Arabidopsis thaliana: one gene and its partner. The protein of the gene in region 1 interacts with the protein of each later gene in a pairwise test. Each region holds a gene or a part of one and is shown in the gene's direction. Other genes may lie near its edges. The genes, in order: CIPK5 and AT3G04300.

Evidence for each region.
Region 2: the proteins of CIPK5 (region 1) and AT3G04300 interact in a two-hybrid assay, tested with the Arabidopsis thaliana proteins (one large-scale study listed by BioGRID).

Annotation. Positions count from the first base shown.
Region 1 is NC_003076.8:3,443,351-3,452,354, reverse strand, and holds CIPK5 (CBL-interacting protein kinase 5), read left to right. Parts: upstream 1-5,076; 5' UTR 5,077-5,448; coding exon 5,449-6,786; 3' UTR 6,787-7,326; downstream 7,327-9,004. Other genes in the region: ASG2 (transducin family protein / WD-40 repeat family protein), read left to right, coding at 1-48, 165-279, 780-919, 1,002-1,172, 1,262-1,372, 1,494-1,605, 2,078-2,409, 2,570-2,660 and 4 more; AT5G10920 (L-Aspartase-like family protein), read right to left, coding at 8,463-8,717, 8,804-9,004. UniProt on the Arabidopsis thaliana protein: CIPK serine-threonine protein kinases interact with CBL proteins. Binding of a CBL protein to the regulatory NAF domain of CIPK protein lead to the activation of the kinase in a calcium-dependent manner.
Region 2 is NC_003074.8:1,135,666-1,144,352, forward strand, and holds AT3G04300 (RmlC-like cupins superfamily protein), read left to right. Parts: upstream 1-4,463; 5' UTR 4,464-4,652; coding exon 4,653-4,723; intron 4,724-4,838; coding exon 4,839-5,058; 3' UTR 5,059-5,395; downstream 5,396-8,687. Other genes in the region: LTL1 (Li-tolerant lipase 1), read right to left, coding at 99-226, 318-558; AT3G04310 (uncharacterized protein), read right to left, coding at 5,916-6,431, 6,570-6,863; AT3G04320 (Kunitz family trypsin and protease inhibitor protein), read left to right, coding at 8,078-8,687.

The DNA of each region.
Region 1 (9,004 bases):
CCACCTCCGTGTGTCAATTACTTCTGTCCCATGCATCTTTCTGAACGTGTTAGTTTAGCCTGATTGATATTAAGATACTCTACTAGTTCTTAGTTCTGCATTGCTGTTTTCTTGGTCAAAGTGTTTCCCAAGCTCACTGTCTGCTACATCTTAAATTATTTCAGGGGCGAACAAATTTGCACCTAACACATGTTACTTTCAGTCCTAATGGCGAAGAAGTTTTGCTCAGTTACAGTGGGGAGCATGTCTACCTGATGAATGTAAATAATGGTATTTGCAGTTGAGTTGTTTGCTGCTTAAAGCTTAAATTCCGTGAATAGTTAATCGTGCAGTATGAACTTGAATTTGTTAAGAAAAATAATTGAACTTCATATTGAAATATTTTGATTTATGTCGCTTTGTTTTCTTTTTTTTTTCCTGTTCATGCCCCTTTCAGTTCTGCTAAAGACATTGTAATCCTGCATGAAAAATTTCGATGGAACATTTGGAAAGTTATTGATATCCTCTGAGATTTCAAATGGATATGCTATTATGTGGCCCTTTTAAAAATTGGATTAAGGATGATGGATGTGTTAGCCCACCAGTTTTTTGCTTACCTTTTGTTATTTACATTTGTACTGCCAATCTGTACTTCACCACTTAGTTTAGAAATATTTTTCTTTGCTAGTTATCTTGTTTTAGGCACCTTTTCGCATTGAAAATGTCAGTTTTCCTAACATTTTGGTACTTTGACTTAAGCTCAATATATGATGATTCATTCCTTTGTTTGTGACTTGTAGGCACTGGAATCATGCAATACACACCAGGAGATGTAGATAACTTGTTTTCTTTCAGTAACAACCTCCACGATGTAGAATCTCCACCTCAGGTTTCCACCACTCCTCAAAATGGCTTTCACAGAAGTAGCAATGCTGCAACGGTTCGCACCTCCCTCTGTAATTGTTCCATATGGTGACCTTGTCATTCCATATTCTTAGTGCATCTGACGCCGTTCTTTTCAGGTTAAGAAGTGTACGGAATTGGTAGAAATTGCTAAATGGTCTTTAGAAGAGGGTACAGATGTTTTCTATGCAATTGAGGCAGCTAATGAAGTTCTGGATGCTCATTCTAATGATATTGAGTCTGCGCTAAGGCATGAATGCCTTTGTACTCGTGCCGCATTGTTACTCAAGGTCCTTTAGAACTGGTGTCTATAACTAGCTTGAATCCCTACATTACTCCTCTCTAATAACCATAATCAGCTGATTTGTTTATTTTTCAGAGGAAGTGGAAGAATGATGCTCATATGGCCGTAAGAGATTGCCATAATGCTCGGAGAATTGATGCTTCATCCTTTAAAGCTCATTACTACATGTCTGAAGCGCTGCAGCAAGTAAATTCATAGCTCTGATCACAGTTAATTTTAAGTTTACTATTTGACATAGAGATGGTTCTGCAATAAGCATTTATTTTAGTCACCCTTCCATTTCATATACATATGTGCTTTCACGCAGTTGGGAAAATGTAAAGAAGCTCTAGATTTTGCGACTGCTGCACAACATATGAACCCATCAGATGCCGATATAGTGGCAAAAGTGGAGAGCATTAAAAGGGATCTTCAAGCAGGTTTGTGCCAACTGATGTATGTCTTTTCCTGCAGGTTTGCTTAGTAACAGATGTTATCTACTTTCCTGCTGTTTCTGTTTTCCTCTATGAGCTAGGATAGAGGTTCAAGATGTTTCTGCTTAGATGTTTTTGTTTTTTGTTTTTTTAGGCTCTTCAATGAGTTATAACCACTCGTTTCTAGTAATCAATGTGGACACATGAGAGAAAATCTTAAGCATAGATTCGTAGTATCATCTTTAAGTCCATCTGGCTTCTCTTTCTACATCTAATTTTGTTGGTTAATATGTCTGATATTTCTTTTGATTCAAAAGTGTATCAAAGTAACAGATGTAGAGCTATTCTTTTAGATTTGGTGGATTCTTTCATTCCCAAGGAGTATTAATGTGCTTAGAAGCTTTCATGATTCAACAGGCAAGGGAATTTATATTCACATTTTAATATTCTTGTACTTGTCTTTTGTTTGACAAATCAGCTGGAGCTGAGAAAAACGAAGAGACAGGAGCTGGAACTACTAGAGTACTTTCTTTAAGCGACATACTATATAGATCAGAGGCCAACAGTGACAGTTCACATGATATGTCGAGATCCGAAAGAGAAGATTCTGATTATGATGAGGAATTGGAGTTGGATATTCAAACTTCGTTGTCTGATGATGAAGGACGAGATACAGACTCAAATTCTATGCGTGGCAGTCTCAACTTACGAATTCATAGAGTAGGTGATGATAAACCGATGGAAAATACAGTTGACAATGCCTCCTCAGGAACTGCATCGTCATCTCAAAATGATAGGACGTCTTATCAGGTTAGTTCTAAGATTATGGTATTGTTATTTATTTTAAAGCAAAACAAATTTAACACATTGAATACGTTTTAAGTTAGTACTTGACTTCTTTTATGCTGCGTCATACTTTTACCTAATTTGATGGATACCTTTTACACCAATGGTTTTTTGGTGATTATAGCCAGAGGGAGCCATTGATATGAAACGTAGATATGTTGGCCACTGTAACGTAGGAACTGATATTAAGCAGGCCAGTTTTCTTGGTCAGAGAGGTAAGTTTCTTGGGGTTGCAACTTTCATGTTATCTGAGTGCAATTTTCCATTCTAGTAGAAAAAGCGGTTTATAAAATTTGAAATTCAATACGGTATCGACTTTCTGTGAACATTTTATTACCAAATTTCAGGTGAATATATTGCAAGTGGAAGCGATGACGGTCGGTGGTTTATATGGGAGAAACAGACTGGAAGGCTTATGAAAGTGCTCGTTGGCGATGAATCAGGTGATCTTTTTTCCTTTCACATTTTATCCATTACATAAGTATCTTTTTTTTTCATTGAATTTCGAGTTGGCTAAAAGAATCATCTTTCGTCTCTAGTTTTGAACTGCATTCAATGCCATCCGTTTGATAGTGTTGTAGCAACGAGTGGAATTGATAACACAATAAAGGTAAGCAGGCACACAAAGCTGTCTTCAGGGTTTGGTTTTCATTTCGTGTAAGATCTCTAAAACTAACATTTGCATGTAAAAATATGTGTACAGATATGGAGCCCAACCGCATCAGTCCCATCAATTGTAGCAGGAGGATCAGCTGGACCAGCAACCGCCAATGTAGTGGAAGTAATGGAGAGTAATCAACAGAAGCTAAGCCGCAATCGAGAGAATCCTCTGTAAGTTTTCTGGGATAGGTGGTTTGAGTTAATATAAAAGCTCCAAGGCGGTTTCAGAGTACACAAAATGGGTTTGATGATTTGGTACATTGATGATTCATTTGCAGGTCTGTGGAGCTAATGCAAAGGTTTAGGATGCAAGAATTTGCAGAAGGAAACTTTCACCCATTTGAATGTACTCAGAGCTAAAGCAGGAGGGAACTGTAGAGGTATAATAAGCTTGCTTTGTGAAGGTGATGGTGGAATAACAATGGTTTTGAATATGAATAATGAATAATAAGGTTTGATTAGGTTTCATATGTAGCAAAAGCTTTCTCTCTGTAAAACTCATGCATAGCTTCCTTCTAAAAGCTTTTTTTGTTGTTGTTGTTGTTGTTGTACAGTTTGATATTGGCTTCTTCTTTTGAATGTGAATATTCATCGTTATTTTACATTGTTTTTTCATTTCTGTCGCGTTTAGTAGACAGCATAAGGCTGTATGTGTTATGTGTCCAATCTCGTTATTTTAATATAGACTTGTGGAGGAAGCTCTAACCACTTTGCTGCTTTAATTAATCTTGTCTAGTGTAAACTTTTTTACCTATTTATATATTGCTGCTGGGGGCACTTGCCTCCACAAGCCATAACGTGGGTCTGCCCCTGACTTTAGTATGTATTTGGACAAGGTATGCTTCTATTTGGACTAATCCCGCATACGTGTTTTTTTGTATACAATTATTAGTTATATTTTTATGGTGTTATTAATGGTTAGTAAAGTAGTCTAATTCCTGATCAGTAGACTAGATCCTAAAACATTCCTTGGTGGAACACAATAGATCTCCCTACTTTGAAGATAGTGACATGACATCCCTAAATAACGATTAGCTAGCCGTGCATTAAGTTTTGGCTAATAATCTTTTATCTTTTGATGATAAAAATGGAATTGAGCTATATGATTTAGAAACAAATTAATATTGTAAATGATTTTGAATTTTTGTTTTTAAAAAAAAATGGATATGTTAATTAGAATTTTCATGGTCTACTCACCAGAAACTTGATTTGTATGCTAGTTTATGAAATGATTTTAAAATAATTTAAATTTTTTATACGAAAGGTTGGGTGGAACCACCACATAAGATAAGGGGGACAAAAAGCATTAGACCGTTGGAGAGAATTATTGACATTATTTTAAGGAAGTTCTGTCAATAATTGATTACCTATTCCTTTTTCTCCGACGATATTTATTCGTGAAAAAGTAAAATTTAATAGAATTATAGAAAATCATAGCATTCAAACAGCATAATCTTATTTGATGATAACATAATCTAAAGTTTAGGTTATGTTATTTACACATACTGTGTTATATTTACCTATTTAAATTGCCTATTTCCTTTGACGTTGATTATTATTTTGACACTGTTTTATTTTCTTCTAGAAATTGGTGTATTGTAAAATAATAGAAAATTTTAAGTGTTACGTTATACAAAAATGATTTAACATTATAAGGTAATAGAGAATATTAAAAAAAAAAAAAACATACATATGACCCCCAAAGTCTTAGAAATAATTGTTAGCATCTAGTTTTGTCCAAGTAATTAACAAATTAAGAAAGGAAAAAACACAAGAGACATTGTTCTGAATGTTGTTCTTAAGAATAAAATCTAGCAAACAATATGCCGTGTGTAGAAATATAGAAGGTTATACAAAATTCTTTATGTACAACACTATAACAAAACAAAAACAAAATCTAGTACCCATAATTTTTTTAACTGCAAACAATATGTTTTAAATGATGACCATTTTTTTTTTTTTTTTTTTTTTGTAAAAAAAACTTATTTTCCATATAAAAAACAAATTCCAAAGAAAAAGTAAAGTTATTGCAGTGTGACATGTGTGACTTTGTGAGTGGCTTATCACCTTGTCTATAAATTCAAAGAGTGTTCAGTATATAATAAGAGGACACCACGTAGCTGCGTTTGTGATTCATTTGCACACTTCTTCTTCTTCTTCCTCATTTCTCTTCCTCTCCCATATTCCATGGAATTGCTCTACTTCTTCACCTATGAGAGTAATATATCCTCATGTACTCAAAATACTAATCAAACTTCATGCTTCAACACCACCTTTTCTTAATCCTCCTTCTTCATCTTCTTCTTCCACTATTTCATTTTCCCTAGTCGGTGTAAATATCAAATGGAGGAAGAACGGCGAGTTCTGTTCGGAAAGTACGAGATGGGAAGGTTATTAGGCAAAGGAACCTTCGCCAAAGTCTATTACGGCAAAGAGATCATCGGCGGCGAGTGCGTCGCAATCAAAGTCATCAACAAGGATCAAGTAATGAAGAGACCTGGAATGATGGAACAAATCAAACGCGAGATTTCAATCATGAAGCTCGTTCGTCATCCCAACATAGTTGAATTGAAAGAAGTCATGGCTACGAAGACCAAGATCTTCTTCGTCATGGAGTTCGTTAAAGGCGGCGAGCTTTTCTGCAAAATCTCTAAAGGTAAGTTACACGAAGACGCTGCTCGTAGATATTTCCAGCAATTGATCTCAGCCGTTGATTATTGCCATAGTAGAGGCGTTTCTCATCGCGATCTGAAACCTGAGAATCTTCTTTTAGATGAGAATGGAGATTTGAAAATCTCCGATTTCGGATTATCTGCGTTACCGGAACAGATTCTTCAAGACGGATTGCTTCATACGCAGTGTGGAACTCCGGCGTATGTTGCGCCGGAGGTATTAAAGAAGAAAGGATACGACGGCGCGAAAGCTGATATCTGGTCGTGCGGCGTCGTTTTGTATGTTCTTCTCGCCGGATGTTTGCCGTTTCAAGATGAGAATCTGATGAATATGTATCGGAAGATTTTCAGAGCGGATTTTGAATTTCCGCCGTGGTTTTCTCCGGAAGCGAGGAGGTTGATTTCGAAACTCCTCGTTGTAGATCCAGATCGACGGATCTCGATTCCGGCGATTATGAGAACGCCTTGGCTCCGGAAAAACTTCACTCCGCCGTTAGCTTTCAAAATCGACGAACCGATTTGTTCTCAAAGCAGCAAAAACAACGAAGAAGAAGAAGAAGACGGAGATTGTGAAAATCAAACAGAGCCGATATCGCCGAAATTCTTCAACGCTTTCGAATTCATATCCTCGATGTCTTCCGGATTTGACTTATCGAGCTTGTTCGAGAGCAAGAGGAAAGTGCAATCGGTGTTTACGTCACGGTCGTCGGCGACGGAGGTAATGGAGAAGATAGAAACGGTTACGAAGGAGATGAACATGAAAGTGAAGAGAACGAAGGATTTTAAAGTGAAGATGGAAGGGAAAACGGAAGGGAGAAAAGGACGGTTGTCGATGACGGCGGAAGTGTTTGAAGTAGCGCCGGAGATATCGGTGGTGGAGTTTTGCAAATCGGCGGGAGATACTTTGGAGTACGATAGGTTATACGAAGAAGAAGTACGGCCGGCGTTAAACGACATCGTCTGGTCATGGCACGGTGATAATAATAACACTTCTTCCGAGGATTGTTGAATCAGTAGTTTTTGGTTCTGATTTAACCGGTTATCGGTTAACGTAGTATAACTAAGAACTGTTACATTGAACCCAAATTTTCTTTGGTTTAATAAAATTTTGGTTTTACTTCTTTTTCTTTGGTAAGGATTTTGATTTTGCTTCTAATTGAACCTAATTGTGTTGTTTTTAGGTACAAATGAATAAATAATTTGGGTTCAGATTAAATTAATCGACAATTAAGGGTATGTTAAGTCGAAAACGAAAATGACTATGAGTCGGGTTGTGGTTTAGAAGACCGACACGTGTGGTTTCTCAGAGACTTCGAAAAGATTCACCTTCTGTTATGAAGTCAAATCATTTGAATTTTGAAGTTCAAATAGTTAGTGGAGAGGACAAAGTCACAACAAATTAATTTATTTATGGGATCCGACGACTTTTTTTCATTAGTTTTCTTCTACATGTCCAACTTTGAATTGTAGCTGGGCATGATCGTAAGATAGAAGATTAGATGTGATTGATGGGATGAAGATAATGCTAATCTGAATTTTCTGCATAAATGAGTATGTTTATGTGTATTCAGTCTATCAAAATTACCCATTTCATACCATATGTTTACTATCATATTTTGTAATTTTTTTAGAAGCATAATAATGTAATAACCTAAAGAACAAAAAATATCGACTACATCATGCAAGAAGTTTCGAAGAAACCCAATCCTGTAAGAATTAATGGCGTATAAGTTATACTAAGTGAAAGAAAAATCCCCCAAAAAGTTAAAATGGATACAGACAAAAACAAGGATTAAAAGATAACAAGAGTAATGAGGTTCACCAGTAAACTCAATCCATTAAGAAAGAAATGGAGCTTTCACCATAATTAATATCCGACCAATAATCTAAAAAAAGGATCAATCAGTGGCTAACATGGGATTTTAGGACAAGGGTTGTGTCACAGTCAGAAAGTGACTCCACCAACATCAAATGGATAGTATTAAATCGAGTGTTTTTTGTTAAGATTAGATTTAACTATTTTAGGAGAAGAGAAACACCAATGAGGTTATTACTGGTACGTATTTGTGTCACTTTATGTTTGGTCATAATAAAATGGAGGATGACATTTTGTTTGGAACATAAAAAGGATATTGTAAGTTGTAACAGATGTTGCACCTCCTAAGGAAGAGGGTGTGTCATGTCATGTGTGGTCCTCCCCCATGTTCAAAAAAAATCACATCCAAATGCAATCCACTAGTTTTTGTTGTTGTATTTCTGAACAATAATTGGGTTTGAAAAAGAAGAAAACAAAAATTCAAAAAACTCAAATGAAAATTGAAGTCTGCATTGACAAAGTATTCTTGAAATTTAAAGACATGTTCAAATCACAACCTAACTCCAATGCACTTCCCTTGATCCAACTTCTTAAGCTTTGGGCAAATATCCACAAGTTTGGAGTTAATCTTCTTCTCATTGTAGAATATAAAAAGATTGATATTGTAGAGAGCATTGAAATGAGAAGAATACCAAACTCTTCCACATTATCTCGATTTCAAATATTACAAAACTTATTTTGTTTGTGGGTCTTCTCAAACCGCTGCAACATGTTGCTTGAAATCTTCCTGGTATTAACGACAAAAATCCTCAATAAATATGAAAATTACACAAACGTCATCAAATCTTTTGCTAATGGTTTGGTCCGGATCAGGTGGAAGTAATGTTGAGCTTGTTGACCCAGTAGCCAAGTTGCTCAGCAACACAGTTTGATCCTGTTGACCCATAGGAACTGAACTTATTGACTGAATTTTCAACCCCCAAAAATCCAAACACATCTTCTTCAAACACAGGGCTCAGCTTTTTCATCTCTTCAAGACTTAAGTTCTGAAGTTCACAGCCTTTTGAGACGCAAACTCCAACTAGTTTTCCAACTATGTCATGAGATGACCTAAAAGGCATCCCCTGGGAAATCAAAAAACCAAAACAGTATTTATCTTTCTGACTTCAGTTACAAAAATGGAAGATATGATAAATAAAAACCACATTACCTTCTTCACAAGATAATCAGCGAGAGTAGTCGCATCAAGATGTCCTGCGGGAAGACTTTTCTTGATTCTGTCTTCGTTGAATGTAACATTCTGAGCAAATTCTGCAGATACATCGATCATTCCCATTATTGTCTTGGTACTATCGAACATCGGCTCTTTGTCTTCTTGAAAATCTCTGTTGTAAGCAAGGGGAAGTCCTTT
Region 2 (8,687 bases), on another chromosome or scaffold:
GAGAGGGTAAACACGTCTTGTCGTGTCGTGCATTAATATCAGCAACACTTGAATGCGTATTTAATGCAAGAATTTTAAAATTGATTGGATATGCTTACGAATTGAATTCCAGTGTCGTTGAGGATTCCAATTCCTGCGGAGGCAAAATTAGCACCGACTAGAAGATTTTCTCCGGTGAGATGCGGGCTAAGGTACGGCAAAGTCGACGGCATGCCTATAGCCTCACCTAGTAGAGAGAGAGACATATTAAACAAACATTAAAGATTGATTAACGAACCATTATATCGTATAACCATGCTTGAATCAAATATGCTTACTGATAATGTCGGGAATGTTAAGGCCGTTAGAGAAACGTCCGGTGGGTCTACGGGTCGGGTAGTCGATACCATACGGGTAATTGTCGGCACGGGCAGTGGTGACGAGGTAGTCGTTGTTTCCATTGTCGACGAGAGAGTCACCAAAGACAAAGAAAGCCCTAGATTTGACTTGTGGTGCAAGAAAAGTAACAATGAAGAAGAGTGAAATTAGAAACCCTAATGGAGAACAATTGATATTCATTGTTATGGACAGAGAATGGGACTAGATGACGAATGAGAAGAAACGTTTATAAATTGACGTATGATATGAGAGCATATGGAGAGTGTGTGTTATATATATACACTGACAATAGGTTTAGGGTTCAATAAGTAATGTGTATCTGTTTTTTTTTTTTTTTTTTTTTCGTTGTTGGTGTGATTTTAAGAAAATAGAGACATTAATAGAGGCTGCCAACTGATACACCATAAAAATTGGTCTTGTTTGTTGTTTGGATGTAATAAATGTTAGAAATTGTACTACTGCTTGTTCTCCTAAAATGGAATTATCTTTCAACCATTGAAATTCGATGTGACATAATTTTTTTGATTGACGGTTACTGATCTCAATGTCTGCAATCTACGTGTAAATTTTGAAGTGATTAGGTATATGTATATCGATCCAAAGAAACTAATCTTTACCGTTCTTCATCTCCATTTTTGTGTAGTTTTGTGTTTATATCCAATGTCACAAATCGAGATGCAGTGACCGGACGGTCCCCAAAGAAACCATATTGTATAACCCATCCATTTCGAACTACTTGGTTAATATGTGAAATATCTATATGCTATATAGTTAACGTAACATACGTGAATTTAGGCGGCTCATCAATCATATCCTCTCCTTTTTTTGTCATGGGTTTTACATGACATAATATTTAATATTGAAAACTAAAAATGTTTCCATCAGCTGATGGATGGATAAATTTAAACTAGACTTCACTAAGATTTATACAATGTCAAACTCATGCCATCTAAATGTTCAATTACGAGAAGTTCAATTGGTTAAATATATATTTTTGGATAAACTTTTTCTGTCCAACTATGCCTCCCCTTTGAACGTTATCACATTAACGCGTACTACCTACGAATTTTCAAAGCTGGAATATTACATAAATAAAGCATCCAGAAAGAAAGAGAAAAGCATTCAAAAAAAAAAAGAAGGTGTATATAACAATTAGAGCCATTGATGTCAATGTAATGGGTCGTGTTCAATACCATACTTTTTGAAAATCTTGATGTATTTTATAGTAGGAGTGTTGTTCAATTTGGTTGGTGTGTAATTATAAAATGTATTTTAATTTGTTTTCTTGAAATGCGGGTTATGCTTGATATTTTCTAGGATAAAATTACACAAACCATTTGATGTTTTCATGAAATTGGTAAAAGAGCAATTATACTACTTGTTAATTAATCATATACACCTTATGTTTGTTAATACATGAGACTTGAAAATGTTGACTTAACAAATTACGATGCATAAATGGATAATTCAGAATACATTCCACTAATTACTCAAGAATGATCAAAAGAAGACTTTTCATTTGTCTTGATTTTTATACTACTAAGTAATTTTCTGTATAAATAAAATTATTGGAGAGAGAGAGATAGAAGTGAAATTAAGAGATCTACCAACTCAACCAACTCACGTCATAAATTAACATGATGAAGCTACCCTGTCCGACTGCATCATGATTTATGAATTTTGATTTTTTGAAAAATACATTAAAAAAAAAACGTAAAATATCATCTCCAAATCATACCAACCTTTTCCGGCTATTTAATTAGTTACTTTTTTTTCTTCTTTTTTTTGATAAAATTCGTTACCATAAAGGTGAAAATATATCAGTGTCTTTATTCGTAAAGTTATACAGTAAAATTAAATGATGTCTATCCGTAAACAAAAACCAACCAACACAAAGTTTTTCTGTAGAAGAAAATAGACTTTTTAAATATAAAATTATATCAAAGAAACAGAATGGCCCAAAATAAAAACTTCACTGTACCACTATGGAAAATCATGGTTTTGTTTTGGGCTCTCTGCTTGCGTTAGGACTCCACAAACATCTCACAAGCCCAAATGATCAACAAACTTGACCCATGAGAATGAATTTGAAAAGCTCATTAAAATTCAACAAAGTTTCCGAATCAATTCGACTTTGGTTTGGTTAAACCAAACAGAATTGGAGCATTCTAACACAATGGAATTCTGGAGAGAAGATCGATTCCAAGCTCCTTTGCATTGTGATCCAGCACTGGTTAATCAACCCAACTAGATTAGTCTAAAACTGAATCGAATTCGTTTCTTTCCTTTTCCAAATGATACCTCGCCAGAGATCATCTACTTCTACTCTTTATAAACCTTAAACCGAACCAGAAGTAAACCTGAATTAATAATAATTACTTATATTTACTTTTCTGTGCATTCGTAACTAGTGAGTATCTTTTCTTTTTGTTCTATGAAGTATCCTTAATTCCTTTGTTTTGGTGTCAAAATCCTCAATTCCTTTTGCAGCCAAAATTCGTGACCCTAGATCTTAAAAACTTTTGGTCATGCAAGTGTTTAGAGTGGAATTATATATCCTACACTTTTGAGTTGTTTATATCTATACTTCACTTTTCAAAGCATCTAATTAGTGAAAGTTCAAATTTGTTATGTTTAGACAAACCAAATTTTTAGTTGGCTTTTCATGTGTATTGGTTTGATACGGCAATGTTTGGGTGCTTGAACCTAAAAATAAAGGATTGAGTTCGAATATTTCCTATATACACCATACCTTTGAGATTTGTATTTGATTAGATAAACAAGAGTGTAGCTCTAGTTATAAATGATAAATAAAATCAAGCTTATAAGATCATACAGATGAATAGATTATTACCCTGAAATTTTAACTTATTCCCAAAACAAAAGCTGTTGATTTTAAGATCATTAGGATTTAATTTACCACTGATCCCAAACATGTCCGATGTAGAAAATTGTCAACTTCCTTGGAAATGTAAGTGGAAAATTAGGAACTCAGTAAAACACCAAGCTTTTGTGTACAAACTTTCTTCGAGATCTGAGAGTAAAGGTTTTCGATGTGTGGAAATATGACCAGACCAAACCAAAGCAAGACCCTGTTCTCAAATTCACAAGGGTGTTCACATGGAGTTTTTTTTTTTTTTTTTTTTTTTTTCATTCTGAACCTATCTGCCATTCTTTATCACTTGTTCATACTACAGAGACAGAAAATTGCAAATATACTAGCATTCAAATTTGAGGATATGTGAATTTATGCATGCATATATTAGGAGATACATATATACTAGAAACAACCAATAATCCTCACATGCCATGGCATGTTAGAATAAAAAAAAAAACAAGCAGAGCCAGTTGAGGAAGCAGCCAAACTTGAGGGGGCTACACAAATCAATGTCCGGAATTATCACGTATCTTCTAATGAAGAATCAGTCAAACATTTTCGAAACTAAAAACCAAAACCATATAACAAATACACTGAAGATATGAATACTCTTCACAGAATAACTATCGATTAGTTACTGTGTAACTGATCTCAAAACTACACAAATCCAGATACCAGATTAATAGTGCGATCGCAACAGCTGAATAACTGATCCTCAAGCTACACAAATCTAGACTAATAGTGCATAAAACAGCTGAAAAAAGTTAGATCCTATATTAATCCTCTCGAGTGTACCCACTTGATCACTGCAGAATTCACATGGTGGCTACATTGTCCGGAGACTTGTGTCTGAGTTTCAGCTCAGAAGACTCGTTAACACTGTGAAAAGGAAAGCATAGTGGACGCGGGGACAAAACAGAAGGGGTCCATGTGGTTGGAGACTTGATCTGGATAGATCATTAAAGCTTGTTGAGAGACTAGCTCAGCATTTTGCCTTCTAGAGGAGAAACTTTCTTAATCAGATTAATGCAATCAAGAAAAATAGAAAACCAGAGAATTTGTAGTATGAACCACTTCTAGAAGGACTATCTAACACAATAAGCTTAATGAATGTATTTGTTGACTTGGTTTTGTATCTATCCTGGGTCAAAGTGTTTCTTTAAAGATTCCTCCTCTCTCCTATTATCCCTTTCAATAGAAGGGAAAAAAGAAGAAGTCACTTTATTCATACCTGGTTTTATAAATACATACACATGCAGACCAACTACTCCGTCCTTCACCATATAAATACATCTCATATACCTACTTTCTTCTTATCTTTGTTCTCACTGTTTCTTTCTGTTCTATCTAATAACATTGAAACATCGTCGAATTCTCACCTTATTCCTCTTCCAAAATGAATATTGTAATCGAAAACAACCCTTCGAGCAGAAGGTTATCTGACCTTGGAGTCATGTCATGGCCTAAGTAAGTATCAAACATGCACATGCTCTGCTCCTATTACTACTAACTACATAGATTTTCACTTTTTCCATTCCTCAATTTATTGGTAATAACATGATGAATCTCTCTGACAAAACAGATGGTCTTGTCAGCCGGGGAAATATGCATTGGTATTTGAAGAAAGAGAGACATGCTATTTGGTGAAGGGAAAGGTGAAGGTGTATCCAAAAGGGTCATCTGAGTTTGTAGAGTTTGGTGCAGGAGACCTTGTGACCATCCCCAAGGGACTTAGCTGCACTTGGGATGTATCACTTTTCATAGACAAACACTACAAGTTCGATCCTCCTACTTCTCCATAATTTTTCCTAACTACAATCTAGTTTTGGGTTAGTCTTTATCACCACGAAGCATAAAAGACTCTATATTCAGACAATAAAATATAGAAGAGAAACCAAAAAGATAATGCTTAGGATACGTGTAAAGCCCTTCCTAGATTATGTTTTCAGATGTAACTTCTTTGTTTCTCATAGAACAAACAATCGGCACATGCCAATATTCGTTTCACTTTGAAACTTCTGTTTATCTGGAAAACAGTAGATCAAATCACGCGTAAAGCAGAGATATGAACTCCTGTTTCGTACTAAAGAAACTTGCTAAATGAAGGATTCCCTATTAACTGATATTGTTCTTTACTCTTAAAATAGTCTTTATCAAAGATTCTTATCATGAGGCCATTGGTTCCTATCACTAATAAAAACAAATAAAGAACCCTTTGAATGTTTAAATATAACATGTGAAGCAAATAAATGTGAAAGCATATATTCTAGCAGTATTGCTACCTGACTAGATAAAGTAGAAGAGTATGTAATCTTAAATCTCACATACTAAAGAAACAGTAGCAGCAGCATCTGGTACGCCATCACCAATTATTAGTGCTGGTTATATAAAAAATGAAGATACTAATTAGGCTGTACAAAACAAGAACTATTACACGTTTGTATTTATAGAAACAAAAATCTGACAGGCATATATTCTCAACTTACAGAATATGCATAGTTATCACAAGTAAGAGGTGTATTCTAACTTCTAAGTTCCAAGATAATTGAAAGCTAACCTTTATGATTCCAGGAAGATTGAATTCATTTGACGACCAACCGCGAGAGAAACTCTTGTCCTTTTTCAAACCGCGTGTATAAGGACTTAGATAAATCCCTTGTCAAAACAACAATTTGGTCCATGAACCCAAAAAAGGGAAGGCAGCAATTAGCATCCTCAAGAGCAATGGCTTCTCCTTAACTCTCCACCGCCGAGTAGCCTTTCTTTCAAACTGTTGTTTTGGACGAACATTCTCGTTTAATGGATTGTCATTTCTAATCTCCCTTAGCGTATCTAGATCATCCCATCCTCCATAGCCAGTACCCATGCTGTTAGAATCATCATCTCCTACTATCCATGACTTGTATCCTCCCTTATCTACACCACCCCTCATGTTTCCTCCTTGCCTAGCTTTCCTTGTTCTTCCACTACTTACACTCGCAGATCTCGAAAATGTATCTCTTCTACTTCTTTTCATAGACCTAATGCTTGGCCTGCTCCAAACTTTACTAACCACAAGAGACAACACAGATTGCACTAAAGGAACTGCTAATGCCATTACACCCGCGTTTGAATCTGTTCCAAGAAGCAAAGATATGCCAATTGGTGCAAGCATCCAACTCAATGTTCTAAATACCTGCAATTAAAACAAAACCTCTAAAATTGGCTAAACAGAGCTAACAACTAAACATAAACCATTGTGAATCTAAAGTGAGCAACTTTAAAGTGAGATTCAACATTACAGTTCTTAAATTCCAAAAAGAAGAAGTAATACCTCAAAAACCATAGACCAGTCTTCTTCTTCTTCATTCATCCAATCATCGTTGTCGTCATCGTCATCATCATCATCAAGCCACCAAGGCCTCTTCTTTTTACGGTTTCCGAACTCAAACGAAGCAAAACCTTCGTCGCGGAAGAGCTCCTCCTCCCAGCTAGGACCGCGGGAGGCGCGGCAATCAAAGGAACCGCGGCTCACGATATTTGGGCAGAGATCAAAATCGCAGTTTAGAGAACAGAATCTGCCTCTGACGACGCAAGAAGAAAGCTGAAGATACAGCAGATTCGCCATCCACAAACTGATGATTATTAGCGTTTACATTCAACACATTCCATAAGAACAAAACTGGAGAACGAACAGAAAAATCAATTCTTTCCCATCCACAAACTCTGTTCTTCGCTTTAATCGCTCCTTGCTAAAGAACAGTGATAGAGAGTTAAACCAACTTAAACCAAACCGAACCTCAACTACAGAAATAAAACCAATGTTTTTATTTAACCAAAACCAAACCGGAACCAAAATTCCTTGGTAACACCAAGCCAGCCGAATTAAAACAAATTCGAAGACATGGTAATTGGTAACAAAGGGGACAAAACATGTACCATTTTTTTTTTAACGTTCCTAAACTTGTAAGTTGTAAGAATTGTGCATTAACCATTTATATGTGAGAAATATCTTACATTATAAGACATTGACCATTTATATGTGATATACAAGAGGGATATGTGGTCAATTCATCGTCAGCATGGTGGTAATTGGTAAAATATGTCAAATTAATTATGACATATTAGTCATTCTCTTCGTGAGAGTGAACGTGAAAAAAAGAAGGTATATTGTCGGAGTGAGCCAATATCATCATCTCAAATGGTTATATACAAGGAATATGCATGGATCATGGATCAATTCATGCATGCTGTATCCTAAGGCCATGAATGTTTGTAGTTTTTAAAATGGTTTTTGGATTTTGGATTTTGGTTTTTGGTTTTTAGTTTTTGATTTTCTTGGGTTTTGTTTTTGGTGTAGATTTTAGTTTCTTAAAAAACTTGAATGGTAATTTGTTTAGATTTTGGTTTTTATGTTAATGGATAGTATTTTTTTTACAAAACAAATCTAAAAATAAAATAAAAAATGTGATCGATTGTTTTTGAGAGAGAAACTCCCAAAACATAGATTTTGGTTTTCTTTGAAAAATTGTTAAAACACTCAAAAACTAGATTTCCTATATTTTAGGAAAACTTGTTTTTTCAAAATCTTGAATGGCTACAAAATAGATTTTAGAAAAAATTAAAACTAAAAACTAGTTTAAAAACCACACTCATTCAAGGCCTTAATACTATGTTTGGAGCGTGTGTTTTAATCATTTTTAACTAGTATTATAGCTTTGACTCAGATCCACTCTGTAAACCAGATCCATATGGTAAGGAAAAAATAAATTGTTAAGAAGCAAGGTCAACATGAGGAGTAGAAAGAAGACAAAAAAGAACGTGTATTGTAACCAACCCATTATGTCCATAATCTCTATAAAAGGAAACTCAAGACAAGAACACAAAAGCAAGAAGATCAGAAACAACACAAAGATGAAAACATTCCAATTGATGATGATCTCTTTCTTGTTCGTTGCAATAACAACAACATCCGGTGTGGTTAGTGAGGGTAACGACGTAGTTTATGACGGCGAAGGAGATCCGGTTAAGCCCAACGTTCCATATTACATCAGCTTCATGACGTCGGATTACAACATGTGGATCTGCCGAATGCAATATGGATCTACTGATCCCAACTCATGCCCACAACAACCGTTAATGGTCACTCATCCAAATTTAGCAGCACCAACACCAGTTATGTTTGTATTAGCAAACAAGTCAGATGTCGTACGTGAATCAGCCAAACTTAAGATTAAGTTCGTAGGTCCCCGTCAGTGTGGTAAATCCGGGTTTTGGAAAGTAGTTCAGAGAAACTCTTCAGAAGGTGAAGTATTCCTCAACGGATCTAAATCTATGTCACACAATGACAGCACATTCGCCATCCACAAAACTAACGAATACTACAAGTTTACTTTCGGTGACGGTGACTATCCAACGACTATCAGTATGACCAACGACTATCCGATATATA